2 linked regions of the Drosophila melanogaster genome follow. The protein of the gene in region 2 interacts with the protein of the main gene of each other region in a pairwise test. Each region holds a gene or a part of one and is shown on either strand. Other genes may lie near its edges. The genes, in order: TpnC47D and wupA.

What was found.
Region 1: the proteins of wupA (region 2) and TpnC47D interact in a two-hybrid assay, tested with the Drosophila melanogaster proteins (2 studies listed by BioGRID).

The regions. Positions count from the first base shown.
Region 1 is NT_033778.4:11,262,601-11,278,675, forward strand, and holds TpnC47D (troponin C at 47D), read right to left. Parts: upstream 12,687-16,075; 5' UTR 12,633-12,686; coding exon 12,621-12,632; intron 12,465-12,620; coding exon 12,290-12,464; intron 12,232-12,289; coding exon 11,980-12,231; intron 11,543-11,979; coding exon 11,514-11,542; 3' UTR 11,245-11,513; downstream 1-11,244. Other genes in the region: Cpr47Ee (cuticular protein 47Ee), read left to right, coding at 2,716-3,165, 3,511-4,170; Cpr47Ef (cuticular protein 47Ef), read right to left, coding at 4,490-4,701, 5,068-5,112, 5,198-5,263, 5,387-5,419, 5,479-5,535, 5,596-5,628, 5,685-5,741, 5,799-5,939 and 9 more; Cpr47Eg (cuticular protein 47Eg), read right to left, coding at 15,385-15,726, 15,795-15,806.
Region 2 is NC_004354.4:18,107,913-18,125,079, forward strand, and holds the start of wupA (wings up A), read right to left. Parts: upstream 8,914-17,167; 5' UTR 8,795-8,913; intron 6,823-8,794; exon of another isoform or gene 6,735-6,822; 5' UTR 6,714-6,734; coding exon 6,699-6,713; exon of another isoform or gene 6,694-6,698; intron 6,621-6,693; exon of another isoform or gene 6,532-6,620; intron 6,011-6,531; coding exon 5,828-6,010; exon of another isoform or gene 5,818-5,827; intron 5,664-5,817; coding exon 5,535-5,663; intron 5,470-5,534; coding exon 5,346-5,469; intron 4,751-5,345; coding exon of another isoform or gene 4,650-4,750; intron 4,127-4,649; coding exon of another isoform or gene 4,026-4,126; intron 2,693-4,025; coding exon of another isoform or gene 2,592-2,692; intron 1,659-2,591; coding exon 1,558-1,658; intron 1-1,557. UniProt on the Drosophila melanogaster protein: Troponin I is the ATPase inhibitory subunit of troponin in the thin filament regulatory complex. Involved in the development and maintenance of muscle and nervous system. May also be involved in the cytoskeletal apparatus.

The sequences.
Region 1 (16,075 bases), on a different chromosome or scaffold from region 2:
CAACAGATTTTATTTCCATTTTAAAATAAATTCAACAACTTTTTCTACATATATTTTTCTCTTGTACAGTTAGGTGCGCTTCGTCACTACGCGCCATTCACTGTTATGGAAAACCGAAAAATAATTAGATTTTCATGAATTTGTACGTGACACAATGACTGTAAATCTTATTAGCTTATTTTTATAAGAATTTAAGGGCCGAAAGGACCCTACTCTATTTTTTTCGAGTGTCTCTTTGCAAAGCGGCATTTGACGCGCCTGCCACAGAAGTGGAAACTTATTAATGAAGCAGCCGCAATGCCGACGAGGTCATAATTCAGAGCTGCGACACTCTAACCTTTAGCCAAGATCTGCCAGCCGGAACCTGAAGATCCGCAGTCGCAATTTTGTTGCAGTCGCACTACGCACTGCCACAAAGTGAATCAATTAGCTCCGCTGGCGGCCATAATTTCTAACTAATGCAATTCGCAATTGCAAAATGTCAGGCCCACTCAACAAAGTATGAAACATCTAAACCATCTCGAAGCGGTGCAACTTTCTGGCTGCCATCTATTAATAACCGTCGCCTTTGCTGTCCGACTTTCAGTTGGATTTGGATTTGGATTTGGGGCTAAGGCCTATGGCTCATAGACATGGCTCAGTCGCAGTTGGAGTCGTGGGAGGAGTGTCCGACCTGTCTTTAATGCGGTTTGCTCATCGGCCAACAACCACATTGTGTTGGCTTGTACTATGCGCTTGTTGTGTCTCGCATTTCTGCATTTTTACGAAGCTCCCCGCATCGCCTCGTTTTCCCGCATTTTGAAGCTTTGTTTTATGGCTATTTATACCCCAAGTTTGCGAATTATTCAAATGGCAAATCAATCAGGCAGCGATTGGCCAATATGGGCCAAAAAACATTTTATAATTAATATTGAACACATTCAATTTGATCTGCTTATTGGGTCAAAACATTTTCGAACCCTAAATCAAAGTTATTTTTAGACATATGGAAGCTGCCAAAACCTATCATTACCTTAAATAAAAAACAAGAGATGTGTAATAACCAAACTAGCAGAAAATCAAATTACATAAAAAATTCCCACGGCCGTTGATTTCACGTCGCATATATGGGCTTTAAAACAACAACACATCGGAAATGTATTGTAAAATCGATTTTTTTATATACATTATACATTGCAAATCATAAGAAATTAAAAAGTTTAAATGAACAATACCCTTTTAATTAATAATAACAAAAGGAAGATGACAAGCAGCAAAAAGTAGTTCATCGAACTGAATAACTCTCATCTTTTATATCTAAGCAATTTAGATATAATTTATAAGTAAAAATATCAATTAATTTTAAAATTAACCTGTTTGGCATGTGCTAAAATTTCCCAGCGAAGCGTATGAAAATGTCGTGAAGGGCGAAAGTGGAACCTATTTGGATTTCGAATATTTATGTAGCATATTTCGCGGCTCCGTTATTTATATTTCTTGGGTCAAAATATCTCTTCTACTTTTAGGCAGATTCTCACATTACCTAGGCACCTAAAGTTTAGTTTATTGCCACCATATCTTTATCGTTTCATAAAAAAAACGCAAATTTTTTAATTTTTTGACAGGAACCGAAATTTAGCTTTAGATTTAAATAGAAGCATAAGCTCCCAATTGAGTGGTGACCCATAACCCATAAAACGCGAGTGTTGACCTTTGTTTCGTAATGAAAAACCTCCACAGAATTAGCATATGCAATTATAGATGAAGCTGAACATGGAACAAGACATGTTCGCCTTTTAATGGCAGCTCATACTGATGACAAACGAAAATGTATCTGTCAGATACTTGGCAGTTATAAATGAGTGATGGCGACCACATCACACCTAGACATGAGCAATCCCCGTCCCATCGAGATTGATGATTAACCCCACTGGAGCGTGGAACAATGGAACACTTCGGGCACGAAAAGCTCTCAAGCTATCCTGGGGATAAGCAGTATCGCATTTGATTAGTATGCCATTTGACAAATGATGTTTGTAGGCCAAGTTGAGGTCCGATTTCCACCTTGACCAAGGGAAAATGAAGGGGCTATCCAACATACAACATAGACCACCAGCCACTGTCAGCACATAACTCAAGCAAACACCTTTGAGGCAGATGCGAAGACAAGTGCTGGAGCAAAAAGACCCAGAATTTGCATATGGGGCTGGCTCATAAACAAGTGCGCGGAAGACGACCGGTGGGCCACCATGAAGATATCAATCAGCCCAGGCCAAAGCCGAAGCCAAACGAAATTCGTTTGTCCTTCTGTCAATGGCCGATAAAAAACCAATAAAGCTGCCAGCCCAGCGGCTTGTTAACACGCAGATAAATTACACTGGCCGCCCGCGAGATTACCATCGAGATGCAGTCAGAAGCCGATAGCCAGGGCACAGGAAGCCGCCGATTGTTCTGACCATAACTGAGCTGAGCTTTAGGGCCTGACGAACCGCCGGGCCCGACGATCGAGAACCGCATAAATACGGCCGCCGGTGGGAGCCGCAATTGCAGTCGTGGCACGGCTTTCGATCAGTGACTTCCAGTGGCAGCAACGGATTTGCTTCGGTACGCGATTGAATCTCCAGCATCAGCAGTGTTTCCCAGCTCCATAAGTGAATCGTCGGGTTTATCGAGCGTGTAATTTGTGCTCCGTTCGCGAGATTTATGATCCACGGCACCTGCCCACTGACAGCCTAAATGTCTGTAGCCCGTACCCCTCGATTCCGGCACCTCCGCTGGGTGGCCTGTCTGCTGGCCAGCCTCTGGTTTTCCGTCAGCCAGGCTCAGTTGCCAGGAACCGGATTCCAGGGACAGCGTCCGCAGGTGCCTCCACTGCAGCCGCTGCAACAGCAGGCCAATCCCTTTCAGCGACGCCAGCCGAATCCCGTACAGGGTCAAGGACTGTTTCCTGGTCAAAGGAATCCACTGAACCCACTGGCACCTCCACTAACTGGAGCTGCTCTACAGAATCCCTATACCCGCTACAACCAGTACCAGCAGCAAAACTATGTGCCCATCACTGCCTACCAAAACGAACTCAATCTGGATGGAAGCTTCTCCTACGGATACTCGTCGGCCGATGGAACCACTGCCCAGGCACAGGGATACGTGAAGAACTTGGGGTATGGTGAGGGAGTTGAGGCACAGGTGGGTTTACTATTCAGATTGATTAGCAAACTTTTCAGTGATATTCTTCTAAATGATCCTATAGCATTAATTGATGGAAAATGGTGTTAAGACTTATTTGTTGATATTTACATCAGCCTTTTTTTAAGTAAATTTTTCTGTTATTTTTTAGTAGAACAAGTTTTTTAAGCTTCACATATCTATGCATAAATTCAAGTAAATTATTTTCAAAAAACCAACGATCATATTATTCAAATTGGGACATAATGCGTTGCAATCTTTTCGGCGTTGAGCTAACTATAACTAAAAAATTCGTATCATGCTTTTGGGTGCTATTTGTCAACAACTTTATTTGCCATTGAACAGGTGATTCAGGGATCCTACTCGTACACCTCACCGGAGGGCACACCCATCACAGTGCGCTACATCGCCGATGAGAACGGATTTCGAGCGGAGGGCACGGGGATTCCATCTAGCCCTCAATATTTCGCAGGTGCCCAGCCCTATCAACAGGGCTTGCTCAATCCCAATTTGAATCCATACCAGACGCCCTTCCGCCAGCTGCCACCCCCACTGCCCAACGCCCCCTTTCGTCCCCAGCTTCCAGGACAACAGCCGCTCACTCCACTGCAGCAACAGCAGCAGCAACAGCAACAACAGTTGCAACAGCAACGCGGTTTCCAGCAGCAGCAGCAGCCAAACTCCGGGCAATATCAACCGGAACAGCCGTTCAATCAGTTGCATTCCGGCAACTTACCCGGTCAGTATGCCGGACAATTTGGCCAGCAATCGTTTGGCAGCAATCTTACTGCACAACAGGCACAACAGCAGCAGAATCTCAACCAGCAACAGCAGCAGCAGCAGCAACAACAGCAGCAGCAGCAACAGCAGCAGAAGGAGCAGCAAAACGAGCAGCAGCAACAGGCCCTAATCACCCAACAACTGAGGGGCAGACCGAACAACCTGGTGGATCCATATGGCTATAATCAGTACGGCAGACGCTTCAAGAAGTCCCCAAAGAAATAACGACAAATTAATGTCATTTAAATGATTGATTAGTTTGAAGATGTAGTCGCAACTCAAAGGCATGAAATACATGCATCTGAAAAGTCAAGCAGTTTGTTTCAATTTCCGCAGCTTACGCGGCGCAAAATGATAAGCAAATATTTTATAATAATCATTTATTTCGATAGTTGCACACACACATTGTCAGAGTGGAAGAGGGAGGTAAGCTTATATAAATAAATTAATTGTTTTAGCGAAAGAACATTGAGGGCAGCCTGCACGGAAATGACGTTTCTTCGATTTGAGAGATTTGATTGGCGTTTTGGAATAAATTCTGATTTTAGTAGCTATAGCCCGTCTGAGGATTGAACTCTCCGTTTCCACGACCTCCGCCCGGCGCTCCCGGAGCAGGTGGAATGTACTGTGATCCTGTGCCGGGAACTCCTCCCGATCCTGGTCTGCCTGGCGAGCCGGGTGCTCCGCCACCAGCCGCTGGTGGAACATACTGATTGCCGGGCAATCCTGGTCCGCCTGGACGTCCACCGGCGCCTCCTAGATAAAAAATGGAAACAATCGCGATTAGAGTGGCATTAAATTTATGTAAACCCTCTTTGATTAGTTGTAATTATTTAAAGCAGTCTTTAAAATTATTATAATCTAGCGACTTCAAAGAGACCGCGTGCAAGCCGAAATGTTTTATGCATGAAAGATCGTTAGTCGATCGTGGGTAAAACAATAGACCAAGGCTTTGCCAAACAAGAATTGTCAAAATAAAAAAACTGAAATGTGTGGGAATAGCACTTGTCTAGTGTAGCTCTTCACATCATTTTCTCATGAAGATGAATGAGGCTAATTCAAGTTTTACAATTGCAATCACACAGATTGTAAAACCGGGTTTATAACTATAATGCTTCTTACCCGGTCCACCGGCACCTCCTCCATAACCTGGACCGCCTGGAGATCCTACATTAAAAAATGTAAATACCATCTATATGTTGTGACAAATTGGGAGAGTGACCTCTTCATCACAAAAACCAATGTTACTCACCGGGTCCACCGGGTGCTCCTCCAGCTCCACCGCGACCACCGCCGGCGCCAAAGCCACCACCACCTCCTAAAAAATAAATATTACTTTAATTATTATAATATTTATAACACAGTTTAACAAGTAGTCGGAAACTTGAAGAATTTCGTAAGTTTTGTGGAATGCACAGTGTACTGTTACTAAGTTACTAACCTTGGCCTCCGAATCCTCCTCCTCCGGGAGAGCCTGCGAAACACGAATGGTATGTTTTTAAAGCCACTAGGCAGATATTAAAATCGACTTACCAGGAGCTCCAGGAGCACCACCACGACCGGCGCCGCCTCCGTATCCGCCACCCCCACCTACAAGATGAAGATGTTTTACTTAAGACCTGCAACTGGAATATTGTTTTGCTAACTAACCTTGACCGCCAAATCCTCCTCCACCAGGCGATCCTATTAATTAATAATTCCTTATTTTCAGTAACAAACAATTTATGTTTTGTACTCACCTGGAGCTCCTGGGGCACCTCCACGACCACCACCTCCTCCGAATCCGCCACCACCTCCTACAAGATGAATGTATTATTCGAGGTGAATGTGCAGTAAGTTTTAAAATCCCTTACCTTGACCTCCGAATCCGCCACCACCTGGGGATCCTGGTGCTCCTGGCGCACCTGGTGCTCCACCACCACCGCGACCGCCGCCGCCTCCATAGCCGCCGCCAGCACCTCCCTGGCCACCATATCCGCCTCCGCCTGGTGATCCTGAAAATAAGCAATGTGTTATCTATTATATAAAGTGAATGAAATCATGAACTCACCGGGAGCGCCAGGAGCACCGCCGCGTCCGCCGCCACCTCCGAATCCTCCGCCTCCACCTGGAAAGTGTATATAGTTTTAACTTGAACCGCAAAGTCAGGCGGGATCACTTACCTTGACCTCCGAAACCTCCACCGCCAGGTGATCCTTTAGTTGAAGTAAGTTATTAGTTTTGAGTATCTATGGAGTAACACTTTTCGTTAACTTACCGGGAGCTCCTGGTGCTCCGCCACCGCCGCGTCCTCCGCCGCCGCCACCACCATAACCGCCGCCAGCACCTCCTTGACCACCAAATCCGCCGCCGCCAGGTGATCCTGAAATATATGAAAATAAATATAAATTCATGAAGTGAATTAAGACGGATTTTCTTTAGGAACAATAAATTTCATCTAGAAAAAGGACTTACCAGGACCTCCTGGGGAACCACCACGACCAGCTCCGCCACCAGCTCCTCCATAGCCTCCTCCACCTCCTAAAAAATAAATAGTATTTTAGATCCATGTGTAAGCCGTTGGAACATAACTTACCTTGACCTCCGAATCCGCCTCCACCTGGCGCACCTAAAGAAGCAAACGAATCGATAAAGTATTAAATTAATCTAATAGGGGTTAACATTTTTAAAAATTGTATAAATAAATCAGTCGTTACCTGGACCTCCTGGTGCTCCTCCACGACCACTGCCGCCTCCTAAAAATAATCAAAGTTAAAGTCAAAAAAGACTAAAAAAAGAAAAAGGGTCAAAATGTGACTTGAATTCGTATCTTACCTGATCCATATCCACCGCCACCTCCTGCTCCACCTCCGCCTCCACCGGATCCTCCTCCTGCGCCGCCGCCTCCAAATCCGGATCCGCCTCCATATCCCGAACCACCGCCTCCGCCGCCACCTGCTCCTGCAATCAAAAGTGAGCAATGAAATGGAATGTTAATCCATTGATTTATTTTGTAGAAACTTACCCTGTCCTCCAGGACCGCCACTGTATCCACCACCCGGCAGTATGGAGATGCCCTGGGCAGCCAGAGATTTGGCTATCGCTTCCGGAATGGGCGGTGGAGTGGGCAGGGCGTTGCCCGAGGGCACAAAGCCATTCTCATCCGCCGTGTACATGATCTCGACGAGTTCACCTTCGGGATTTGTGTAGGAGTATGAGCCCATCACGGATGGGATTTCATTCTCAGATCCCTTGTTCTTAACGGTGCCCTCCTCCTGGGCCTTTATACCATTTCCAGTCTCGTAGCTGAAACGGTAGTTGCCATCGCCGTCGTTCTCGTTGACAAATGAGAGGATCGGAATGGGAGGTCCAGAAGTTGGTGGCGCGCCACCTGACGGACTGGGGCGTGGAGCGGGTGCTCCGCCGCCTCCGCCGCCGCCGCCAGGTGCAATGGGTCTTCCGTTTGCGAAGCCACCAAGTCCGTTATTACCACCACCAAAGCCACCAGCACCGCCACCGCCTGGTCCTCCACCGAAGCCGCCAGCTGGTCCGCCACCGCCGCCTCCTCCATAACCTCCACCCGCTCCGCCGCCACCGAATCCTCCACCTCCGCCGAAGCCACCTCCTGGGCCCTGAAGCCCTGCTCCCGGACTGCCGCCCGCACTGGCCGCACTTGCAGGTGGGGGCAGGTATTTGTTATCCAGCTTGGCTGCTTGGGCAACCACCAGCGTCGTGATCACCAGAGCCTGAAAAAGATCGTTGCAGGTAGGGATTGCCCGGTAAGTTCACAAATTTATGCAAGCACATGGAAAGTTCATGCGAATCCAGCATCTTCCATCGCGATCCACGTTCTCAATTTGGCCTGAAGCGAATCTTTGGCGTGTTGACTTATTTGATTGCAAAATAAATGCCAGTGAAAAATCGCAGGGGTGGCTAATTGTTTAAAATTTAACTTCATTAACTGCGGCTAATTCATAAATCTGAAGATAACATGAAAAAAGGCTGCTAAATGTAATGAAATAGTCATTTAACGACCGCCATAAAAAGTGTTATTCGAATAAACTTTTGTTGCTTGAGCACAAGGACGTATTTAAACTTAAAATAATGTTAAGCGTCTGAAAATTATTATTTTCGAATTATTCGTATTAAGAAATACTTTTAAACGATTTTTAATGTCTTACTAACATTATGTCATTTTTTACAACTGTACTTTACTCATGATAGCATTTTGGTAATTATTTGTAATAAATGTGTATTTTAAGTTAAACAGCAATGGTTCGTTCCAAAAATAAACGATAAGCTTTTTCCAAACTTCAAATTACAAGAAGAACCTTGAATTGTTTCTGCTGTTAATTAAGCCCTGATACACATCTCGGCCAAGTGGGTATCATGACCCCGCCGCTGGGAACCTCCAAAGGGGTCAAGAGTGTGGCCAAATGTCGGCCATTTCATCAATGAAGCATTTGTCCATTGACAGAACGACGCAATCCGATCCGCTCACGTTTTCCATTGTTGCAACCGATCGTCGTCGCCCATTAAGGCTGCAAGTGCAGCGGGGACTCTTGACTATAGTATCAACATCGGGCTGGCTCATCATTGTCTCAGCCTGAGGCGAACTATGATATTTATGGACTTCTTGTTAGACAGAAGACGTCTGAAGATGCAGCAGCGTGTGAACCGAGAGTGCCACAGAGAATTGCTGGCTGGGAAGGTTGGCTAAGCGGAGCGGACCAGCGAGTGTCAAGTTGAAGTTTAAACCGTTTACGAATTCCATTGGGCCATAAACCTAACAGCTCCATCGATTGGCACGATGATGAGCTCACTTGTCGCCACAGCCGGGCAGTGTAATAATGTAATATTGTGGAAATTCTGACATTTGCCACACTGACTCATCCGGCGACTGTGGCACATGCAACCGAAACAAGCAACGCCTGCCCCTTGGGCCGGAATATCTTGAGGAGTCTGTGAGAGCCTCTTGGAGTTCGTGACCACCTAGCAGACATCTTCGACAGCGTTTCGCAACCGCAAATATAATTGCGGTTATTGCAAATGGGCTGCCAATTGGGTCGCCACTGCTTCCATTTCGATGATCTGCTTTGGAGGCGGGGCGGATCGGCCACGACCAAACCATCTTGGGCAACTTTGCGTGCCATCCACCATCTCCGATTGCAAATGGGCTGTTAATTTATGCGTTTCACGGGGATTACTCGATCTTTTCAAGACAATCGGATATGCTAAGTGCAATGGGGAAACCCTTGGCTGTGCTAAAATATCCAAGATGGGACACTCCAGTGGCCTATTGTTTAGGCATGTTCTTTTTCGCGGAATTTTATGAGTTGCCAAGTTGAGATTAAATAATTAACTAAATCAAAGTTTCCTGAAAAGTTATAAACTCTTGATGAATAAGAATATTCCTATGCCAATTTAATACAGATTTCTGATGAGACAATTCCCTAGACTAAAATAATTGAATGTCTTTATTCTAAGGTAAAATTCGTAACTTTACTTTCATTTAAATTAAATTGGGTAATGAAATCAATTTAATTAAATTTGAAGCATTAAGATCTTTGCATTCGAATGTAAAATGTAAAAATGTAATGAATGTAAAAAATCCGAAAAGAATAAAAACGGAAAATATGAATATAAATATGAATATTATATTCAAACATTGAAATATATTTTTGAATCTAGGTCATTATCTCAAGAAGGATACTTTTCGGGAAAAATTAGTAAAGCTCTACAATAATTTCTAACCACAACAGCATATGGAGTTTCAAAGGACTCTTCATTAGAACACTTGGATCTTTTGAATTTTCTAACCCAAAGTTACTTTCCTCTTTCACTGAACTTACCCACTTAAGAGCCATGACAGCAATCTTTTGATTGTTTCGATCGAGGATTAAGAAGAAGAATCCTTGGCGCACCCACAATTTATCCACTGCTTAATTTATCCACAAAGCTGGGTTAATCCACGTAAGTCCTTTGCCGCACCAGCGATGCAGTGCCTCCGCGTGTCGTGTTGTGGCTCCTCGAATGTCACGGTACTTGTGTGCCGATCGCAGCCCAAGTTCTCCAGCTTTTATACTTGGTTTGGCGCCAAATGCAATCAAATGGAATGGAATGAACGAAAACTGCAGCCGGAGCTTGCCGCTTGCAGCTTGGAGCTCGGTGCTGAGCGAGTGCTGAGATTTTGATACTTTATGGCATTTATTGCAATCGTGTGCAGCTGTGGTGGTGATGGTGGTGGTGCTAGCTGAGGCTCCGTCCCCAGCTGGGGCAGAAAACAATCGCACGAAAAAGGGAGGAGGAGGTGGTGGTGCCCCCGCATCCTCATCCGCAAGCCCATGCATTTTGACTATTGTCTCAACGGCGGCATCTCGTTTACTCAATGTACCTTGTCTTGTTAAACAAACGCTCTCAGCCACATCTCTCCTCGGTTAGTGGGTAAAAATTAGCAAGCAAGCAACTGCTGCTGGTGGTGCTCGTAAATTGGAATCCAATCGAAACGCTCAACGCTCGAGCGCATCATCATCATTCAGCTTCATCTCCATTGAATTGCACGTTTGGGAAACCGTTTTAATGCGCTCGGTGTCAAGAATCGCATATTGAGAAGTCTGCCCAGGCGGATGTCAATAAATCTGACACCCAACACAATCCGCCACATTTTCAGCTCTTTCACAGGGCGTCCAGGTCCAGTCTGTGACCTTTCACCTAATGATTGGGTAAAAACTGAAAACTGGATTCGAAGCGGTAATAAATACCACTAATATCGACACCCTCCGGCCGAAAGACTAAGCATTGCGCAAAACAAGTTGCTCCACTTGGTGGCAACATCCAAACCCCAACCCATCCACATCGATCTGCCCCAAGCCCCTTCTCCTTTTTTTTCGCTAACTTTTCAGAAAGGGCAGTTGCTTCTTTTCGCTGAATTTGGGAAAACAAACTCACTGCATGTCGCGGCGGCCAAGTTTAGCGTAAATGCTTGACATCTTTTGGCAACAAGGAGAATGCTCATTGACATTTGCCAGCCTGCATGCATAGCTATGATATACTACATTGGCTGTTTGGAAAGGCAAAAATCTAGCAGGTTGTCAGTGGGCCTTATTCTGCTTGGGATGGTCACAGCTGTGCGGACCAGAACGCCAGTCAAGTGGCAAACGGAATGTGCACGCACTGCCGCAAGTAATAGCGGAAAGATTGAAACAAAGAACTCCGCATGCATCTGGCCACGTTGCGTATGCGCAACATGCATCACTCATACGCCGAATGGCCTTGCCAAATTAACACACAAATGAGCAGAGCGGCCACGCCCACTCCCAGCCCATTGCACAAACATTGAAATTTAATAATAATCCGCACGCCAGAGGGTGGCAATTGGCAATTAAGATGACTCAACTCGGATGCAGATGCACTGCAGCCATAGAATGTTTGCCGCGCTTTGGGTTTTTCTACTCAATCGGTTCCTGAACGAGCGGATTATTTATAGCGTAATTATGATTACTCAATCGTAGAAATAAAATACAAAACGTTTATTCAAGCCTCGGGTGTTGGGGGGTAGACAATTATGAGATACGTTGGGTCCACAATGCTTACTCGCCAGTCATCATCTCCATGAATTCTGGAAATTAAATACAAAATAATATTAATTATTATTATTGTTGATAACTAAAATATGGTTTGTGTACTAATACAAGTGGAAATTGGACCAAAACCTCATAATACAAATTTGTTTCTTTTTAAACTGGTACACCAATCGGAACAATTATAAAAGGCGGAAAATATGGACGGATTTTGTTTTAGGAATAGTGAAATGCCCCTTAGAATCTGGGGCAAAGTGATCTGCTTGTTTCTGTGTAAAGATCTAAAGAACTATAAATAAAGCACCACAAGGGCGTCTCCCCTCGTTGGTGGGATGGTGGTGTTAGTGGGGAGGGGTAGGGGTTCTCCACCGCAACAAATTGATATAATTTGTGTGGAAAATACCATGGCAGCGCGCCAAGGAATCCAAGATCTTTATAGCCCGACTGACGGCGGCTAATTGGTCCGCGCACTTACCATCAAAATCAACGGTGCCAGAGCCGTCGGAATCGATTTCCTCAATCATGATGTCGAGCTCCTGTTCGGTCAGCTGGTCGTCCAGTTCCTTGAGGATCTCCTTCAGGCAGGAGGTGGGAATGTAGCCATTGCCCTGCTTGTCGTACAGACGGAAAGCCTCGCGCAGCTCCTTCTGCATGGCCTCATCATCCTCCTCTACGATGAACTTGGCAGCCAGCTGGACGAACTCCTCGAACTCCAGGCGACCGGATTCTGCAGAAGAATCGAGGATTAGTTTGGGCACCCGGCAATATAGGCTGCGAACACTTACTGTCCTCATCGACCTCGTCGATCAGCTCGTCAAGGATCTGCCTGTCGAAGGGCTGACCCATAAGACGGAGGATATCGGCCACCATTTCGGTGGGGATACTGCCGGTCTTCTGGTGGTCGAAGCTGTTGAATGCCTTCTGCAGAACGGCAATCTGCTCGGGGGTCAGGTCTTCGTCCTGAGAAGAAAGTTCCATGAATTTCCATACATTACTTCGTTTGTAATTCGGTAAAAATCTTTAAATTGATGAGAAACGACATTTCTCTATTCCTTAACACTGCTTTCAAGTGCAAGGTGTTACCCCTAGGGGTTTCTATAATCCAGTGGCACTCACAATGTTATCCATTTTAAATCCTGTGCTAGTTGTTCACCAGATCGATCACCGCTAACGACTGAATCAGTTCCCCACTTCTTCATTGAGCTCTTGAGATCCCCAGAAACCCCAGAAACACCCACACACAACGCCAGGCATTCCAAAAGTAACAAGCTAATTTATGGTTTTCAGCAGCATTTCGAAAATAAAACCAAGCGAAATAAACAAAAGAAGTGAACGCGCACACGAACCTGTGGAAATCTTAAAATGTGTTTCTAATTTTCGTGGAGTGAAAAAAAGGAAAATACGAAAAGCACTGTAAAACCATTGAGCATTGCCGAATTTACTGCGCCTGGCCACCAGAAAGCAGCAGCACCACCAATGCCACCACCACCATCACCACCAAGAGCAGACGATCCGAACCACATCCACCCACTACAATACGATTTTGTAGTGGTTTGCTAAGCTTAACAATGACTATTTTTAGCCGACACTGCGGGAAAATCATTATCAGATTCGATGGCAGCTGGAATTATTGTAAATCATGCTGTTGATAAACCAGTTCCAAATGCGCTATCAACATCTGTTAAAATTAAACACGCTTAATGACGATAAAAAATAGTCTTAAATAACCTTATTTAAATAAACATCTCTTTTTATACTTTTGGGACGTAATACTGGTCTTTGATTTTAGCCACTTAAATAACTACAAACTCAGGCTGAAACTTAAAAACCTACCCTGTTCTACGGCTTTTGAATTTCGGTTTCGCTTTTATTAACAAATTACCATACGAAATGAGTCAGCAAAATTCCAGACAAAGATGTTATAGTATCAGTTCAGCAGTTGAATTTCGCCCAGTGTACGCTTAATTGGTGCTCATTTAAATAAGTATCAGATATTCCCTCATAATTAGATCAAATCTGATCACATTTTCCAGCTGACACGCTTTATGAATCAATCACGACGTGCCCATAAAATCATTTTATAACTCAGCCAAATTAACGAGCAATTAAAAAATCGACATTAATTAAGAGGATGGAATCATTCCACACACAGACACCGACAACTCGCACATGGAAATATCAAACGAGCAATGTGTTAATACATTTTTATAAACGATTCGAATATTGTCTTTTGCGATTCAGCTTCCTATTCCCATACGCGCGCATATATATTCACATTTAAATCAGCCATAATATTAATTATTCGTTTTGTTTAATGCCAGCCATGATATGCAAATTGATTTATAAATTTTAATAAAATAGCAGTTTGTGTGGCACACATTTTCGAAACCAGCCAACGTATTTGTTTATGTGGCTATGGAATATTGGGAAAATCGAGGAAGCCAAATCTTGCTTTCCAATTATGACAGCGCCAGCCAAAGCAGCCGCCAAAAAGTTGACGTCACTCTGACATATTGACCATTTGTTTATGCTCTTATTAATTTATTAGCAAGTAATATATGCGACACACATATCTCAAAATGCCAGGAATTAGTAATGAACAACAGCTGAGCGGGAGAAAGGAATCCTTGGCGCCGCAAAGAATCCGAAAAATCTCATTGAGTGATTACACGGAGGAAATAATATGGGATTCCTTGTATTCATTTAAAGAAAAAATATCTCAGTCTGTTCTATTTTAAGTTACAAACTTATATTATTAAAATATAAGTTAAATACTGCATACAAATTCATTAAACACATGTTATATACCTCTTATAAAAATTTGGTCTATAAACTACATATTTATTCATATGTCAGAGATTTTATTATTTTCCGGCAGTGTTTTCCGATCTGATCCCCGACAGCCTCGGTGGCATATTGACATCGCCCTCTCGCCATCTCAATCCATCATCGTTGAGATGTGTTTTTAACGCTAGCCATCTGTCGGGTTTTCCATGTTGTGCTTCCAGAACGATTAGCCCCAACGACCCAGAATCCGAATCCGAATCAGAATCAGAATGCCGATTTGGCGGCAAATCGGTAACCGGAGCGCGCAGGCTTTTCAATGTTATTTTGACATTTGAGAGCCGACGATGGTTAGCCTTGATCGTTGGCGGATCGGGCACTTCAGTTACCTCGGATACTGCTACTTCTGCCCCTGGTTGCACCACGTAATTTACGATGGCATTCACTTTACCCGTCGACGTCATAATTGCAGTGGCATAATCTGCATCGCACAACTTAAACGGTCGCATCACTTTCAAAGACCAAAAGCCTAACATTTGCATCGCAAATTATGACAACAAAGAGCCTGATTATCCCATCGCGATCACGTGACTAGATAGGGATTGCTAAATGTCTTCAAACAGAAAAAAAATAACTATACCCCTTTTCATTATTTTGATATGATCTGCATAGAATAAAGTCTAATATATGGAATTTCTTATTCTGAAATATGCAATGGGAACTAGTCTACTTCTATTTCAAAACCGCAAAACCAGGTCCGGTGTATATGGATATGGTTTAAAAACCGGTAAAAAACGTGATTACGTAACAGTGATCCTAAAGTAACAGCTCCTAAGTGATCCTAAATCGAAAGTGAAAACTGAACGACCCCGAGTTCAGGGGCAGCATGGCGTTTGGGTACAATGTTCATCTGTCAGACCCATACATATTACGTACTAATATAATTCATCCGTCTGGTAGACCCTGACCAACAAGTTTCTGTCCGCTAATACGATGCGTATATATGTTTGTCTACTCGGTTTAAGAAGCGACAGTCCTTTTGGGAAGAAATTAAAAGTCTAGGAAAGTAAAGTTCAACACATTTATTTAACATTATTTATTGACTTGGGGGGTGGGCGGCGATGTACTCCAGAGAACGCTGGATGGCCTCTGGAATTGGTGGTGGGGTGGGCAGAGGAGGGTTGGCAGACACCACCTGGTAACCGTTGGCATCGGCGATATATTGGATGGACACTGGCACATTTTCGGGAGATGTCCACGACTGGCTTCCCTTCACCACCCACTCTTCGCCGTTAAGGTCACCCTTCTGTTGCACATTGACAGAGTTGTCCAGCTCAACAGCGTAAGCAAAGCCGTCAACATTCACTTGCTGCTCGGCACGGAGAACATTGGCATCTTCGTTGGCGAGGGCGACGGCCAACAGGCAGGCGAAAGCAATCTACAAGGATTGTAAATAACAAATCAGCTAGAATCATTAAAGGATCAATTTGCGATAAAGCCACTTACGAAGAACTTCATGTTGATTGTTGAAAGACTTGAGAAGGCTAACTGATATCGAACTGGAACTTCTGCCTGCTTTTTATATGATACTGATGCTCAGCTTACCTCTGCCGGTGGCGCCCAAGTTCAAGTCTAGAGACGCGTAGGATTTGATTTCATTAATTATGCATTAGATAAGACAAAATACATGTTTATGTGTGCCTCGTTATTGCCGTTCAGTTAAAGTTCGCATTGAATCCCATAATAATGCCCGAAACAGACGGAAGACGAGTTTGACGCGGAGACAT
Region 2 (17,167 bases):
ATCGGTAATCGGTATATCACGTTTAGTGGACTAGCATTAAGTGATTCAATCGAGAAGTAATCGACGCTTGGCTTTTATGCTTTTCAACTTGGAACTCAGCTTTGCTTTTGGCTTATCTTTTTTGCGGCTTTTCGCGGAAAGGATAGTATAGAAACACAGAGAAAAGTGACAGAGAGAGACAGAGATAGAAACAGAGAGAGAGATAGAAAAACAGAGAGAGAGATAGAGAGAGAGAGAGACAGAGTGTGAGCAGCGATGGGATCAATTTACACAAACATTATTTACAATGAAGTGCGGTGGCTTGGTGGGCGGTGGGCAGTACGGGGCGTGGCTGATCGGGATAGGTGTTTCGTGGCTGCTGCTTGTCGGTCGTTTCGGTGTTTTATTTTCCTGTTTTTTTTTCATGTGTTGCTGCATGCAAAATGTTGCGTGCTTGCGTGCGTTGCGTTTCGTGTGAGCGTGACTGTACTTTTCCTTCTTTTGTTCTTAAATTGTGATCGTGTACTTTTGTGCTAGTGTGCTTGTATAACTATGTGCTGGTAAATTTTTAGGTTGTAATTGTGTTTGTGGACCGGACGCACAGACTGTGGTTCAGTTGAGTAATGGCGTAACGCGTCGACAGCGGCACAAACAAATTTGTTGGTTACAGTTAAGAAAAAAAGAGAAATAACACACACACAAAACAAAGTTCACAAATGGTGCAACAAACTAGTTATATTGCTGTTGTTGTAACTATTGTGCAATTCACTAATACTACATTACTGTTGCTTGTTTCTTGTTGTTGTTCGATTTGTTTGTGATTCTGGTTGTCTGGGGTGTAGTGTGACTGATGAGCATACTTGGATTGCCAGTTAAATTGATATTTTTGCAAAGAGGAAGTGAGGAGGTGCCATGTGACATGTTTGTTCGTGTGCTCGATAGCGGACTTAACCTCACTATGTGTGTTTTCGGACATAACCTCACTGGTCACGACATCTGGTCACACTTCAAGTTGAATAGACTTTTCGATATATTCGATATCGATTGACTGGTCAGGCAATCCTCGCGTTCTCAGCGGATACGTGTTTCCGTCTGAAGTTTTTGAGTTAAACGTAAGTAACAACGGCATTAGGAACTCGAAATTGAAATTAAACAGGGAGTAGTACGAATAAATAGTCACGATTGTGCGCCCCCACCGAGACCCAAATATATGCTTCTGTATATATATATGGGTAGGGGGGCACGAGGTGGTTGTTGTTTTGTGAAACAGTCAAGTAAAACAGATACAAACTAAGAGACATATTTTTGAGATGCGCATTCAACAAGTAAGAAAGAAACAACGGAACTGAACGGAACGGAAACGAACATGATACTAGAACTCAAATGAATACTTTAGATAATCAAATAAGATTTTAGTTTTGATACAATTTTGTTGCATTCTGTCTTGGGTGAGTTGGTCTTATTAATATTTTTGGTTTTTTTTTTTTTTTGATTGGTTGTTCTTTTGTATTCAGAGTTTTGACATTTATTGATTGATTGAGAACGATTGGAAAATTTAAATTGAAATTGTTGCAGTACCTCCCAGTCTTTTTTCCTGACTTCGTATTCCAGATCCCATTTCTGGCCTTCACAAATATACATACGCTCGTAATACTCTTCGCAAATCTCTTGCAATTCGCCTGCAAAAATATTTGATTTTTCGGGATTTGGTTTTGGTTTGACTTAAACTTTTAATCGGCGTTCGTCGTTTGGTAATGTTCTAAATCTACGTATGACTAATAGTATTTATGATTGAATTTACTGTTTATAGATTTTTCTTTTGGTTTATCGCAATAATTGTTATCGATATCTTATCGTTTGTTATTTCGCAGCTTCATTAGATGTTATGTGTTCGATGAGTTTTTATTCTTCGATTTTTGACTTGGGTTTCTCCTACTGTTTCTGTTACGAAATGGTACGGAACAAATCAGATCGGAATGAAATGGAACGGAAACGGAAACGATCGTTACGGTTTACATTATTGGCCTATTGGGTACGCGTGATTTTCATGAGCAACTCGATAAACTGAGACTTATTATTTAGGTTTTGACAATTAATGAAAGACGTTCCTTATTATTTTCTCCTACAAGCTTCCACTCCGGCGAACCGAAGACCTGGCTTGGGGGTTACGGCGGGGGAAGACGGTTCCCGGATCCGGACGGATAGACTATATACACGGCGGCCCGGGAACTATTTCCCCCCAAAACCAGACTGTTTGAAGCACGCGCCGATGCGAGAAAATCTCTCTGATTTCGTTTTTTCGTTTTTTTCTGTAGTTTAGCGCAGTTAAAACAATATCAAAATTAGGTAAACGAACAGAAGTATCGCAGTAAAAAACTAAAAATATGATTAGGAAATATTTAGAAATGAAATCAAATAATTAAATCAAGGGCATAATCGTAAAGTAGAGTTATGATTAATAATCGATTTATATATATGTAAATATCTTATGTATTTTATTTGGCTTGATAAGAAAGAAAAAAACATTCGATTTTGGTTTCTTTTTTTTTGAATTCGTTTTTTTTTTTTTTGTGGGTGCATGGCAAAACTTTGTAAATCTTTGGGGAATTTACCTCTTGGGCCTTGACTTTCTGCACGTGTTCTAAATCAAACTTATCGCCCTCCAAACTGTATACGCGTTGCCAATATTGTTTGCATATTGTTTGCAGTTCGGCTGCGGTAAACGGTAACGGTAGCGGTAACAGTAGCGGTTACGAAACGGTAAACGGTTGACGTTTAACGAGAGAGTTCGTTTTGTATTTGTGTTGTATGTATATTTGAGTGTGTTGGTATTGGTGTTTGTTTGTATGTGTGCGTGGGAGTTACGGATCAAAGAAGAGAGATAGATATAGAGTGAGAGAACAGGTATAGACAGAAAAGTGAAGAGAAAAAGAGTAAGATAGTAGGAAGAAGATTAGGTGTGGCGTGAAATTGGAGAGAGTGACAGATATAGTCGAAGAAACAGAGTTAGATAGGGTCAGAAGGAGATAGAGATAGAATGAGACAAAGAGACGTATAGAGACAACGAGAACGACGCATTGTTTGTTTCGATTTTAGTTTGGTTGTTTGTTTGTTTGATTGTTCGAGTGATTGGTTGGCGCGTTTTCGAGAAAAAGAAGGATTAGATTAAGATTTGATTAATATAAAGTTATTGATTGAACTCGATCTTTATCACCTACAAATGTTCTAAGTGTAAGACAGTGTTGTGCTTTCGTTTCTTGGTGCAACATGAAGTGTCTGTAAGAGTATCAGTGTCTTGTTTGTTGTTCCTTCGTGCGTGACTGTACTTCTGGGATGACTGTCTGCCTAAGCTCTGGTCACACTAGAGTAAAGTGCATTGCCCTAACATAACCGTTTCGCTTTTTCTTAATATTTTCTTTCATTTTGGTGGGTTAGTAAAAGCCTTATCAAAAATACAAAAACATCACATGTGTTTCCGCTACAATAAAAAGCCAAAAACCAACTTGTAGCCACAAAAAGCTTATAGCTAAAGCCGTAAAAAGCAAAAAACCCACAAATAAGGTGACATCAAAAATAGGGTTTGTCAGCACTTGTTGCACTCGGCTTAGGTTATTAGTACGTAAAGGCAGCGTAGTTATTCTCGATCCCCCCAATTTGGGTCCGATCTTGAAGCTCTTATATTACGGATTAGCTGCGTTGACTAGGGCTCTACTTTCTATATGGTATATACGATTTTCGGGTGCCAAAAACACTTCGATATTTTTTGTGGGGGCCTCGTTTGCACAGCTCTCTCCCAAAATGAAAACTAGATTCAAAAAGTACATGGTGTTAACTACGGTTTCTACGAAGTGCTTAGTTTTATATTCTTTTGTCCGCCGGACAAACACACACACTAATGTATATAGAGCTCCGAAATATTTGCATATATCTTTGGGCTAGTTGTGCTGCTGCCTCGGCTAGTGAAGTAGTTCTACATATTTAGATAGTTATCAACATGTTCTACGATCTGCGAGAGATTGAAACTATTGGAAACCGGAGCTGCTTGCCTCATAATCCTTTCTGGCTACATCGTACTCGAAATCGTACTTTTCGGACTCCAGTTTCAGTATCTTACTGTGGTAGTCCTTACAAACACTCTGAATAGTATCTGCGGAACGAAGTGTGGTTATCAAAACGGTTCGAACTGTATCTGGATATTTGGAGGTGTTGTTTGACTGTGCGTGTGTGTGTGTGTGTGAGTGCGCTGGTATTTCTTGGTGTGGGAGTGGGTGAGTGTGTTTTTGTGAGACTAATCTACTCGAGAAATGGCACCTACACTTCCATTCTTAAACAGAACACATCCTCACTGGAGTGACATATAGAAAGAGACCTGCATTAATCGGGTGAGTATACGGAGATACGGATACGGATACGCATACGGAGCTAATTGAGCCATTGAGTTTCTGTACAGTTTTTAGTGCCTGGGCGAATAACACTTTTCACGAACATATATAGAGTGTATTATACAGTAAACAGATTGAGAGTGAGATAGTGTTTTAGATATATAGAAAGAGACAGCTGACAGAAGGTGTGTTTATATTGTTGTTGTTAAGCGTTAGCTTTTGATTTTGATCGTGGATAGACTTAGGCGTATTTAGGTGGCGTATATAAAATTGGTGGTGTTCGTGTACCTCAACATCCTTGCGTTTAACAACATACTCAAGATCATATTTCTGGTCCTCCAATTTATTAATCCTGTCATAGTGTTGCTTGATCAGAGATTTGAGTGTGTCTGTTCACAATGGGGTTTTTATATTCGGTTTTTCGGAGTGGTTCGGAGTTGGTTGTGGTTGTGGAATGGGGTGTTGGTTGTGTTGGAGAGGGTTGGTGGTGGTGGTGGTGGTGGTGGTGTGTGTGTGTGGATCGATTGGATATTTAACGGGCATGGGTGCGGCAAAAGAGAGATAGAGATAGAGACACATTTAGATACATGTTGCACACAGTGGTTCAGGCATAATAAGACTATGGTTCCTCTGCGACGTCAATGTGATCCGATGTGGGAGGTCGGTTATCCTGTGTGTGTTTGGTGTGTGTTTTTGGTGTCTTCGTGTTGGTGTGTTATGTAATTGTATGTATGTATGCGATAGATGACACTTGTTCAACTTTCAGTTATCGATTTTGGTTTATGCTTCGCGACAGGCGGGCTTAAACATATTGAATGCATAAGCCGCCTATCTGTTTTACTGATTGATTTCGTTTATTTCGATTATATGGTTTTTCATCCTTTATACTTTCGAACCGTGACCAGGTGCAGGGAAACCTCTAGGGATTTCCACTCGCCTGATCAGGGATCTTAATCATTCGGTTCGAGGACCGAGGCTACTCACCTTCGCTGGCATCGCTGAGATTCCTGGGACTGCCGCAACGTTCTTCGATGATGCGTCTACGTTCAGCCGCTTTGCGTTCCTGTTCTTTCTTCAGCTCCTCAGCGGCTTTCTTACGCAGCAGCAACTGCAAGTGGAGGGCTTTGATTAGCTGGCGATCATACAAAGCGTTGGTATATGCTGGAAACTTACCCTGAGTTTCTTCTTCCTCTCTGGGGTCATGAAACCCTTCTTGGCCTTCTTGGCCTTGGAGGCTTCCTCCATGCGCTTGCGCACCTCAGCACGCTTGCGCTCGATCTCAGCCTGTTTAGCCTTCTTAGCCTGCAAATTAAATGAACGAACAATCCGGGTATCAGCATGGTTTGCTCACATCCAAAACTGGACACAACACTAGATATGATATTCGAACACAGCACTGCACAGCACGAGACTTGGACTTTGACATGGACGTTAAGTTGAACGGGCACACACGTACACAAGTGTACCTCCTCGGCCTTCACTTTGGGGTCGTTGGGATCCTTGGGCGGACCGGCGGGAGCGGCGGCAGCTGCCGGAGCAGCCTTTCCATTGGCCGCCGGAGCAGCCTTGCCATTGGCCGCCGGGGCTGCTGCCGGAGCCGCCGGTTTGGCCGCCGCCGCTGGAGCTGCGGCCGGAGCTGCTGCCTTTTTCTGAAATCAAGTTAAATGATTGCTGGTTAGTTGCAGTTCTAGGAATCGAAAAAGTACGCCAGGCTAGGAGAAAATTGCTTAAACTTCAAAGGAACTATTAACATTTCTCAATCATCCACAATTATTTAAAGTAATCAAATAGGTTTTAAACTCATTTAAATTATATAAGAATGGTCAGCCAAGTTTTATTGGTTGTAATATTTCATTGATTTTAAACTACTTTAAATAGATCTCAAATTTCTCCAGGCACAAACGCGACGATAACAAAAAAAGGGACAAAGCAAGGCACAGAGACATAGACACACACTAACGATAACAGACATGGCTTTCAGTCAGACTTGACAGTTATCATTATCTGTGCTCCTTGATCGAAAGGAAGAAATGGCTGGGATTCAGAGGGTTGCAAAGCGCAGCGATCCTGTGAAAGCAAGAGAAAGGCAAAGAAAGGCTTGGGTTGCATGTTGCGTGGTTGCAAGTGGGGGGCTGTTGAAGCTTCTGGATTGTTCGGGAGCTTTGCTTACCTAAATCCACATCCAGTCAGGTTTAATCCCGTCCAAATCACTTCCAATTTCCAAAACAGTGCTTGCGATTAATGCCCCAAAATAGTTAACTGAAGAAGAGGGTCAAAGGTTAATCAACCGTTTCTCAAAGGCGGTAGAAAGGGGGCCGTTGGAGATACTCACCTCACCTCATCATCAGCCATTTTGATTTGTGTTTTTGGTTACTGAAAGTAAGAGAAATCGAGAGGTGAACTCAAGGAACTGGAACTGGAGGCAAATGGTGAATGGTGAATGGTGAATGGAAATGTTCGATGACATCATTTCCATTGCCCTATATATACACGGCTATATGTAGGTATATACATATAAGTATGTGTTTATATATATATATATATATGTTCCATAAATCAGTCGCTCTCTCTCCCATTCGCACACGCCTACGATCTCACCGGGGTACCACAGTGCGTATGCGCCATATTGCTGGCATATGCCGCATATTACGTATACGCAGCATTGGTTCACGCCGTATATGGGAGGACAACCCCAGCAAACGCTCATTTTCCCGCTCTCTTCGCTTAGCCTTTCTTTCGCACATTTACTTTGGCGTGGGCGTCTAGCTGCCAGAAAAAGACAACTGTATTGCTTTGTGGCTTTTCTAGTTGCTCTCTTTGATATCCGATTTCAAGTGAGCAAAGAGAGAATAGCATTTCCCAACTGACCGATCTCAGCCAGCTGATTTTGTTAATGGAAACTTTCCTACGATATGTTTTCGTTTTAATCAAGCTAAAAGTTAAATCGTTAGTATAGAAGTAACTTTTACATATGCATACTTGATCAGATGATTGATCGTTGTAATGGCATTTTAAAAATACATTTTATGCTGAATAACATATTGGGAATCTTTAAGTAAACATTATGAGATTTCATCATACGAAAAACCATGTCTACATCTTGAGGAATTAATCAGAATTTATTTGCTAGCCTATCCGTATAGTATGTATATGTATACATTTTTACTGAAATGAAGTCGAAGAATTAACACCTCACAAAGTACATATATAACTTTAAAAAGTCTACTAGCGTTGAAAGTAATCGTTAAACAAATTATCTATGCTGTTAGCAATGAACTAAAATAATGTACAATGAGTCAAAAGGAGATCCGTTATAGATTTTATATCCTTTGGAAGAAGTTGTATATTTTGGGGTTTTCACACCTACAAAGCCATATGGCTTAGTAGAACGAATTGCTAGGGAGCTAGGCGTATATTTAGCCCCAGCAATTTGCGCACCTTAGCGAAGGTAAGGCGTGAAAATTTTCTGACAATGACGACCTTCGGCTATGTACACTGCGAGAAATGCACAACGAATTTAAGCATAGTCGATGTCTCCACTCGGCATACATCTGAGAATGAGAGCGAGTGGGATGGCATCTACTGTATCTAGTATCTGACTGATTTAAAAATAAACCTGTTGATAGATACACGAATCTCGGATGCGAGAAATATGGCAGCTATTTATGATTTGCCGTACAATTTGTTTATATGTTCACGGAAAAAAAATAGTCAAATTGGAGCAACGATATTCGTATCGAATATGAAATCCAAAAGTTCGGAGAGCATTTATCCAGTTATTTTACGTAGGCGACGTGTGCGTGTTGTTTCTCTGTGTGTGAGTGTATGATTTTCTGTGTGTGCGTGTGTGTGTGTGATTTTTCTCTCTCTCGGGATCTCTTGTTCTCGCTGTGGTCTATTTTCAGGCACTTTTCGAGCGATTTTAGCTTTTTTGAAATGTATCTTGTATCTGCGGGATACATTTTTAGCTTTCGGCACGCACACACACGCATACACGCACACACACACGGCAACTTCTTACGTAATTGGCAAGCCAATCCGTGAAAAAAAATTCATTGCAAAATCAAGTCAAAATAATGTTGAAAAGTATTTCGATGCAGTTTTAGACACTTGTTAACTTGTATCACTTGAAAAAAAATAGCAAAAAAATTGTTTGAAAAAAAATGTTTGAATCCTCTGGGCACACGCACACGATTTTGGTCAGGTCCAGACATACATATAAATATAAATATATATATATATATGTATAGCATATGAGAAAGGACTGAGGATTTCACATTTGTTTTTCTTTGCATTAGCATTAGCATTTGCATTTTGCATTTTGCAGTTTTCTGTTTTTCCATTCCGCTTGTTCTTGCATTGTTGCTCGTTGTCAATGTTGATGGTGATGTTTTTCTTGGCTTTTTGAATGTTGCTCCGCTTCAAGCACTCACCTTCAAGGAATTAGAAAAAAAAGAAAAAAAATTCGGCTATGCTGTCGATCACACGAATCGGATGATACTGAACGACACAAAAAGACTGAACGGTCCGACGATCCACGGCAGACTATATTCTAGCGGCTAGCCACCCAACGGATACAGATACGGATCGTTGTTGATCGGATCGCATCGTATCGCATCGTCTCGTTCGGCTCGGTTCCGTTATGTTCCGAAAGCCAAACGTTAGCCGCCCACCTGCCCACCGTCCTTCACGAACGGGCGAGAGCGAGAGAGAGCGAGAGTGGCTCGGGGGCCGGGGTTATGTATCTGGGCGTGAGATCCAAAAATAGATCCCACCAAAACTGACATGGCAGAGCACAGCCCATAAGCAAAATCGAAATGGATACCGAAAAGTGTTCGGCTCACGATCGTCGCAGCCGAGTGGCATGCCGAATCGATTCCGAATCCGAATCCGATTGCGATTGCGATTGCGATTGCGATCCCGATCCCGTAACTCCCGCCCCGTCGGAACTGCAGACCCGTAAACCACCCTATGAAAAATACCGCTTGGAGAATCTTTGTATCTCTGTATCCGCATCGGTGTTCACAATATCGTATCTGCAGTTCGATGTGTGTGCTGGTGTAAACGGAGCCGCTTGGAATTCAATGCAATGGATAAAAATAGGTTTTGTTGCTCCAGTTGGGAGGCTATGCGATGGCGGTGCAATCGGTGTGCAATGAAAAAATCAGGGCCGGCGACTGGCTGCAATCTCTGGTTTCGCCAGCCCTGGTTAAAAAACTATAAAATATTATGCTAATTCTGGAAAATCCAGGGAATAAGCTTGTGCTGGGATATGCATATATTGAATATATATTCATTTTCAATGTAATCTACTTCAACAGCAAATACTAATGAAACTAAACATTATCTTAAAATAGGTGCATGCAGCGTTATTTTAAAGATTAGATTTATAACTCCTATCGAACATTTATCCTCATAAACATAACTAATATTTCGATGAGTTGACTGAATACAAATTACTGTTTTCTTTAGAAGACTGCAGTTTTTAAGAAAAATAGGTTAATAACCCTTACATACATATATTGCTGAAAATATATTAGATAAAATTGGGGAATCCCATAGATTCTTAACTTATTTAATTTGAAGATTATTACTATTTAATCCATCCAATATCATTTCCAGGTCTTAAAGTAATTATTCCGTTTGTGTTCATTTAAAAGGTTTTTCTTAGACCGTGCCACTTTGGACTTGATCTAGAAAAACCATTTTAACGATCTGTTTCATGTTGTTCGGCTATTTATCTTGCATGTTGGCCGCTGACATAACTTTAAGCTTTCGAATAATGTGTTCCAAGCGAATCGTACGAACATATAGCCTATATCCGTCTTGTTAATATCAATGTTTTAGCTGAATTACTTTGGCATCGTCAGTCTAAATATAATGTATATACGCAATATGGCCAAATACACACATACACATATATATATATATATATATATGTATATATATATAAATTTCTATATATAATGGTAAACGGTGCGAATGACGCTGCAACACACCTACTGAAAATCACGCATACGCCCCGTAGACGAAACGCCTTGCAACTTTGGTTGAAAGTAATTTTCGAATTTCGCCAAGAACGAAAGACGAATAAAACGTTTCGATCACGAAACCATGTCTATATATATATATATATATCGTATATGAATTTAGATATACATAGACTGTCTATACGTATGTTCCGATTCTATAAACTTTCAGCAGGGAGAGCAACAACAAAATATTGTTGAAAATAATGTTGCTTTTCCCTGCTCATCTCGTTGTTCTTGGCATTTTGTGTTTCTGTTTGTGTTGCTTGTTTTTGATTTTGCCACGGCTTGTTCTAGCTCTATTTCGAAATGTATTTTCGATGATTTCTATTTTGTTTTTCCCCATTTAAATTTAGAATATGGCTTCCAGGGGGGAAATCGAAAAAACGGCGACTGCGGAAGGGCAGTGGGTTAGCTTGGGGCAAAATGTTTTCGTTATTCGTAGGGAACTTGATCAGTTCGTCTATGTCTGGACGAATCTATTTTCGCCTTCATTCTCGTTCCGAGCGTTTTTAAACAATTCCGCTGCGCGCCCAAGCAATTTTTGCCTTAATTTATGAATTTCGAAAATGTTTTTCGTTTGAAAAAACACTTTTAATATTGTGCCTTATTTTTGGGCCTTTGGCAAACAGGAAATATTGAATCGGACGGGGGTGGGCTATAATGCCGACCAGTATTACTAGAAAAGCGGTAATGTCTTACAGCGTCGAAAATGTGTATACATTGGCAATAAGTAAACTTTAATAAAGCAATGTTGCAACATGGGCGGAATATTTGCACGAATCGAGGCCTTAAAGGTGGGCAGTGTGGTGTGCCCAGTGAATCGAGCTTAATTCGGGGTTAAAGGCGAACCATCGATGGTCAGCTGGCTGCGAGTGCGTCAAAGCAAAACAAACGTCATAAGCGCCCACCCCCGCCCCCCCCCTCTGAGCCGCCCACTGTGGGCGTGGCCTTGCAACGTTCGCTCTACCTGACAACTATTTGTCGCTGCTGTCGTCGTCGTCGTCGTCGTCGTCGTTGTCGTCTGCCCGCCGAACTCCCCCTCCATAACCAGAACCAACACCACTCCCCAGCTGTCGCTGACCCATTTAGGGTTATATACACACAAACAGGCACTCGCATCCTTATCCTCCCTGCACCGTATATAAATATATATATGTATATATATAATATGTATATGTATTTATATATGCTGCATGCACTCGCATTATGTATGTACATAGGTGCTGGGTGCACTCATGGTAGCCGTCAGAATTCGCTTACTCCGGCTGGTCCTGCGAAATATTTAAATAACCCTGCCCAAGTTCGCCTTAGAGTTGGCAAAGTTATCGCAAATTTAATTAAATCAACTAAACGGATTACAGTTTCAAATGCACTTTTGGTGCACGTATTGGTTGCACATCTCCAAGGATTAACTGCGTTTGTCGGTTACAGTAACTAATTTTGTTGCATCAAAGGGCGGCTGAAAAGCACGAAACTTGTGCTGTGGCGTAAGTATAATCAATTATTCAGAATGAAACTTTTGCAAGCTAGTATTATGATAAGAAAGTGGGGGAAATAATGCGATTAGCATGGATAATAGGATTAATAAGTAGCTTTATTACAGAGGCATTTATTTGGCATGAAGTTAAATGTCTTTATATTGTAGATTGAAAAATGCTTTTATCTAAACAAATACCTAGTTAAATGCTGCGTACGTTATTATTTATAATTTATTTATAATTTCTATAGCTACACTACTGCTAACAGTTGGGCCATTTCTATTTGGCTTCTTTAAAACTAGCTCAATATTTTCCGTTGTTGTTTTCATGGAGTAGTTCGTATCTCGGATAATCGCCTATTTTTAGGGACTTGTGTTTATACCCTTGTACTTTTTCTATGGCTTTCCACATTTTCCACATTGATGACGTGCAACCGCACGCACACAGGCGCAGTCGTTCACACCGATAGCATGCGTGTGCAGCTTGTAGTGTATTTGCACTAGTTTCGCCGCCAGTGACGTCATAGTTTCCACGCAGACGTCATCAGGAGGCAGCGAGGTCAGTCCATGCAACATGCAACATGGTGCAGGAACAGGAATATGATGCGGATTCCATGTGCACGCGTTCGTGGAAGGCAAAATGGCGCCTAATTGATTGATGGTCCAGTAAGCTGAGGTCAATCAAGGGGCCCCAATTTCCACGACCATTCCACACAGACTTTTGAAAATATTCTCGCCGAACAGCATATCAAATGTGTGGTTTAAAATGATATGGAAAATTACCAAAAAGATACTCATATTGCATCGATTTATTTCTGTAAGGCCTTGAATGCACACATGTATCTTAAATATATCTGAAAATTATCACAAAATATCCCTTTCATATCCTTGTTGCTTTTTAGGAATACATAGTAACTGCGAATTCAATGCCTAATTAGAAGACTTATCAAGTCAAAATGTGTGTTCCTCATGAAAGGAATGCCAGTTGAGCTAATGCTATTCATTTAAATTCGAGAACGATTAAGCATTTTGTTCCGAGTGCTTTTGTAAGCCGTCGGACGTCATTGGTCTTCATTAGCCAAGTCACCTCCGCCGCCCAGCTTCTCCACATCCACATCTGCATCCACATTCACATTCACATTCACATCCACATCCACGACGAAGGACATCCAAAGAAGATGGAGAGCCGAGGGGTCTGCACAATTTTCCACATTTTCATCGAGGAGCAAAAGGGGGTGGTTGCATGGCTGTCTCTTCCATTCACTGCTGACGTTTGCCACTCCGTTCCTGCCTTGAAATGCTGCAGTTTTGTGAATGAAAGTCGCCAGCGTCATCAATGGGACGCCCATTCCGATTGTGGGTGGGCGTGGCGCTATGGCAACAGCAATGCACAAATGCAAAAGCCAGATAAATGTCAACCGAGTTAAGCTGTCGGGCTGACTGGTTGTCTGACTGACTGGCCATGTGGATGTATGCCCAATGTCCTGAACCCATGTCCTGGCCCATGGAAATGTGCTCCCTTTGTCCCGTTCGCCACTCGCTCAATTGGTTCCGATTCGGAGCACCTTATCTGGCTGGACTTGATGACTTAAGCGACACCATTGGATACACACAACGAGAAGACTCTCGAGCGGATGGCGAGTCTCGTGAGGAATGTGATGGGAATGGGGGCAATGAAATTTGGATTTGAATGCACTGGCAGTTGCAATTCAATTGATCCAGACGGACTCTGCACATTGCTCCATTGTATTTCCGGCATGGTTAAACCAAAATAGAACTGAGTACAAGGGGGTGTATACAAGTGTGTTATATAGAGAAGTGCATCATATTTTCGGCTTAACTTTCAGATAAAACAATAAACACTTGCCAATTAAGCTTTAACTACAATCTTATAGGTGTAGTCATCTACTTTCTTATACCAGTAGATTTCATATACATCCTATAGTTGTATAGACTCATCCTAAGTCTGTAGATATAGCTCTTCAAATGGATCAGGAAACCCTCTATTATGGCCAGACACTTGCATGAACAGCAATCGACGCATTCCTAGAAGAGAATCGCCCACAGATTAACTCTCTATATACGACTGTATATATATATATATATATATATATAGTAGCATATAGTCCGATCGTGTTTTGGCATTAGAGCGAAATCCATGCATGCACATCACATAACGCCGAATAATCGGGCGCAGCTATATGGGATGCTTTGGTATACAGAATACGGAATGGGGTCTATATAGCCGACCATACATTGTGTATATGTGGCATAATAAAAATACGCTTCTCTACGCTTTTGTTCTTTCTATTTTCTTCGGCCGTCTCATTCTCGTTGTTGGCAGCGACAACTAGCCCGTTTGTCTAAAGATATAGCCACCTCCTGGCCAAATTTCCACCTACTCTATTTTACGTAGCAGCTCCCTGCTCTACACACCTGGCTATTTGGCATCTGGAATTCGCCTGGGAGTCGTCATTGTCCAACTTGCTAAACTGTTTGAATTTGCCAGCGAGAATCGCAAGTGAAAGTTTTGATTTTCTGGCTCCGCACTAGCTGACCCCGATTTATTTTTAGAAGTGCACTAAAAATAAATGCGAAGGTCGCTACGTAATTGGCTGGGATTCGCTGGCGTCGGATGTTGATTTTCATAGGGGGTGCAGGGGAAGGGAGCAGGAAGCGGACTCCAACTTGAACGCACTGCACAAACTGCATAAGGTCAAAGTGTCAACTGCAACAGCAGCAGCGGCAGCGGCAGCAGGCGCCGAATAAAAATCCGAATCGGTTGCGAATCGGGTTCGGATCGGATCGGATCGGAACGGGCTGGGATGGGCCTCCGGGCTCCATTCATCTGCGGGGCCAATGGGCAATGTCAAACAGGTGTGCAGACGGCGTCGACGTCATTGCCGGAACACCAGCCAACATCCCCATCGGTCTCCAACACCAACATCATCTTCCCTCCATTTCCATCCGATTCCCATCTCGAACTTCTGGCACAGCCGTGTTCCAATTGATAAGCAAGTGCTGCACTCCAGGTGCTTGTTACATACATATATCACATAGGAAACATAGCTAGCATCCCTATATCACGAAAATCCGTGCACAAACTTTCTTAAAAGCTAGGAGAAAGGTACAAACATCGGATGACCAAAGGTCATTAATACGAATATGAATATTACGGAATTTTTCATATATGTACATATGTATATGTGTGAAACTACATAGATAAAATGAATTTTCTTTCAAAATTGAAGTGTATAAACTCGGTGTTGATCTAGAAAGTACATGAAAATGCCAATGATTTTAAACCCTGACATATGTACATATATAATTAGCATCATACATATAAGATAAACAAATTTTCCAAAATATATGCTGGTAAATTCGTTTGCTTTCCTATATATATTTAGAAAAACTAATTTGACCCATAACTTTAGAGCATACTTTAAGGCAAAGCGCAAAAAAATACTTATCGAATTTAAAAAGGAATAAAAACAATATATAAATATTACACAAATGTACATATGTATTAATGATATTAAATATTTTATTATTACAATCGAATTTATATTTGTAACCTTTTTTTTTTGTTTTGTAAATCACAAAGTGCATATATTCGTGCGAACTTCAAAGTCTTCGGCAGTCTGCCTTTCGTTTCGAAGAATTTCTTTCATGCCTCGTCCTTTCTTGTGGCTTTTTCAAAAGTTGCCTCCTTTGATTGTCTATAGACAGAGGCTTAGGCGGGCTCTTCTAAGGGGTACAGGACTCACCGACTTTCTGCCGTCTGGTGCCTCAACCGGCCACGCCCCCCGCTGTCGCTACATCCCTCTCTCTTTCCACCAAACCGCCCCGTCCCTCTTCCGCTTGCTCTGTAATGTCTGCTAACACAGTGACCTAGTGCCGAATGCCAAATGCCGAAATATACGAGTCGAGTCGCGATGATAAAAAAAATGAAGGAAAAAGGAAAATACCGAGGAGCACGAAGGCTTGGGGCCCAGTGACGTCACGGCTGGCATTCATTCACAGGATGTGAGGCATGCATCCAATGGCGGCCGCGCTGCTGTGCTGCAAATTGAGATTTTCATTGAGAAAAGCAAGTATTGGATATCCATCCAGTATCCAGTGTTCAGCAGCCAGCGAGCAGGCAGCATCCTTCGCACAGGACGACCCAGCCCAGCCCCAAATAAGAGAGACCCCGAACGCGACCCCAGACATAATCTGCAAAGGACACTGTTTGCGACATCAGAGATGGCGATGTGATGCTGGTTCTGCCGCTGCCGCAGTCGCTGCCTCTGCCGCCGCCTCAGCCGACGTTGGGCGCCACAAATTTGAGCCTGGTCATGGGTTTACATTCGCAGTGCCAGCATCTGGGAAAATCAGTCGGAAACTCGTCTCCAAGCCAAACAGTCGTGAATGGCTCCAGCCAGCAAAAGTCTGAATTCAAACTGAAAACCCAAAACTCTGGCGCCAAAACATTTGAATATGCACTTTTTTTTCAATTTTTTTTCAAAGTGTGCCGGAAGTGTGCAAGTGATGTCAGTGCAACGTCGTCATTAGTGGCATTCGGTGAATCCCCAAGTCTCTGTCCTACGTCCGAGTTCCACTAAGCAAGTTTTGAGATCGTTTTAAAAACAAAAACTTGACACGTTGAGCTCGTTCGTGGGATGGACTACTGCAATTCGAAATCCAGTTGCTACTTAATTTAAGTTCTATGCCATGTGTTGTGTAAGTAAGTATTAAAAAAGGATCAGTGCATTTAAATTTTGTATTCTTAAATAAACATAGCTTTGTATTTAAGTTAGATGTTTTTATTATGAAATTTATGTGTTTCATCTTTATTAGTAATGCATTTATTGCACTTTAGTTCCCATTGTATAAAAATTTACACAAGATATGTCTGAACAATATGTTATTTTAGATTAAAATAAATACATTTAAACAGTGTGTGTTTGACTATCATATAAATAGTTTAAAAAAATTTACCTTTAGGCGCCTTGTACATGGTAGAAGTTATAAAGGAAAAAAAAGGGGAAAGTTCGATTAAATTGTGAACCTAAAGTCAAATCTACTATTCAAAAGTCGTTTGAAAGTGATTTGCATCTCTGCAATTTTTCCGTGCTCTTCAATTTCTACCGACAACTTGCAGGCGAGACAATAAACACAGTTTAACAGCTAAGTGGCAGAGCAAAGTTTTTAATTAAAATCCAACTATTTTCAGTTTAAAATGAAAAGCTTTGTTTTCCGCTCGAACTGCTGTCCACTTTCAGGCATCTAATTATATTGGACCACTTGCACGGAAA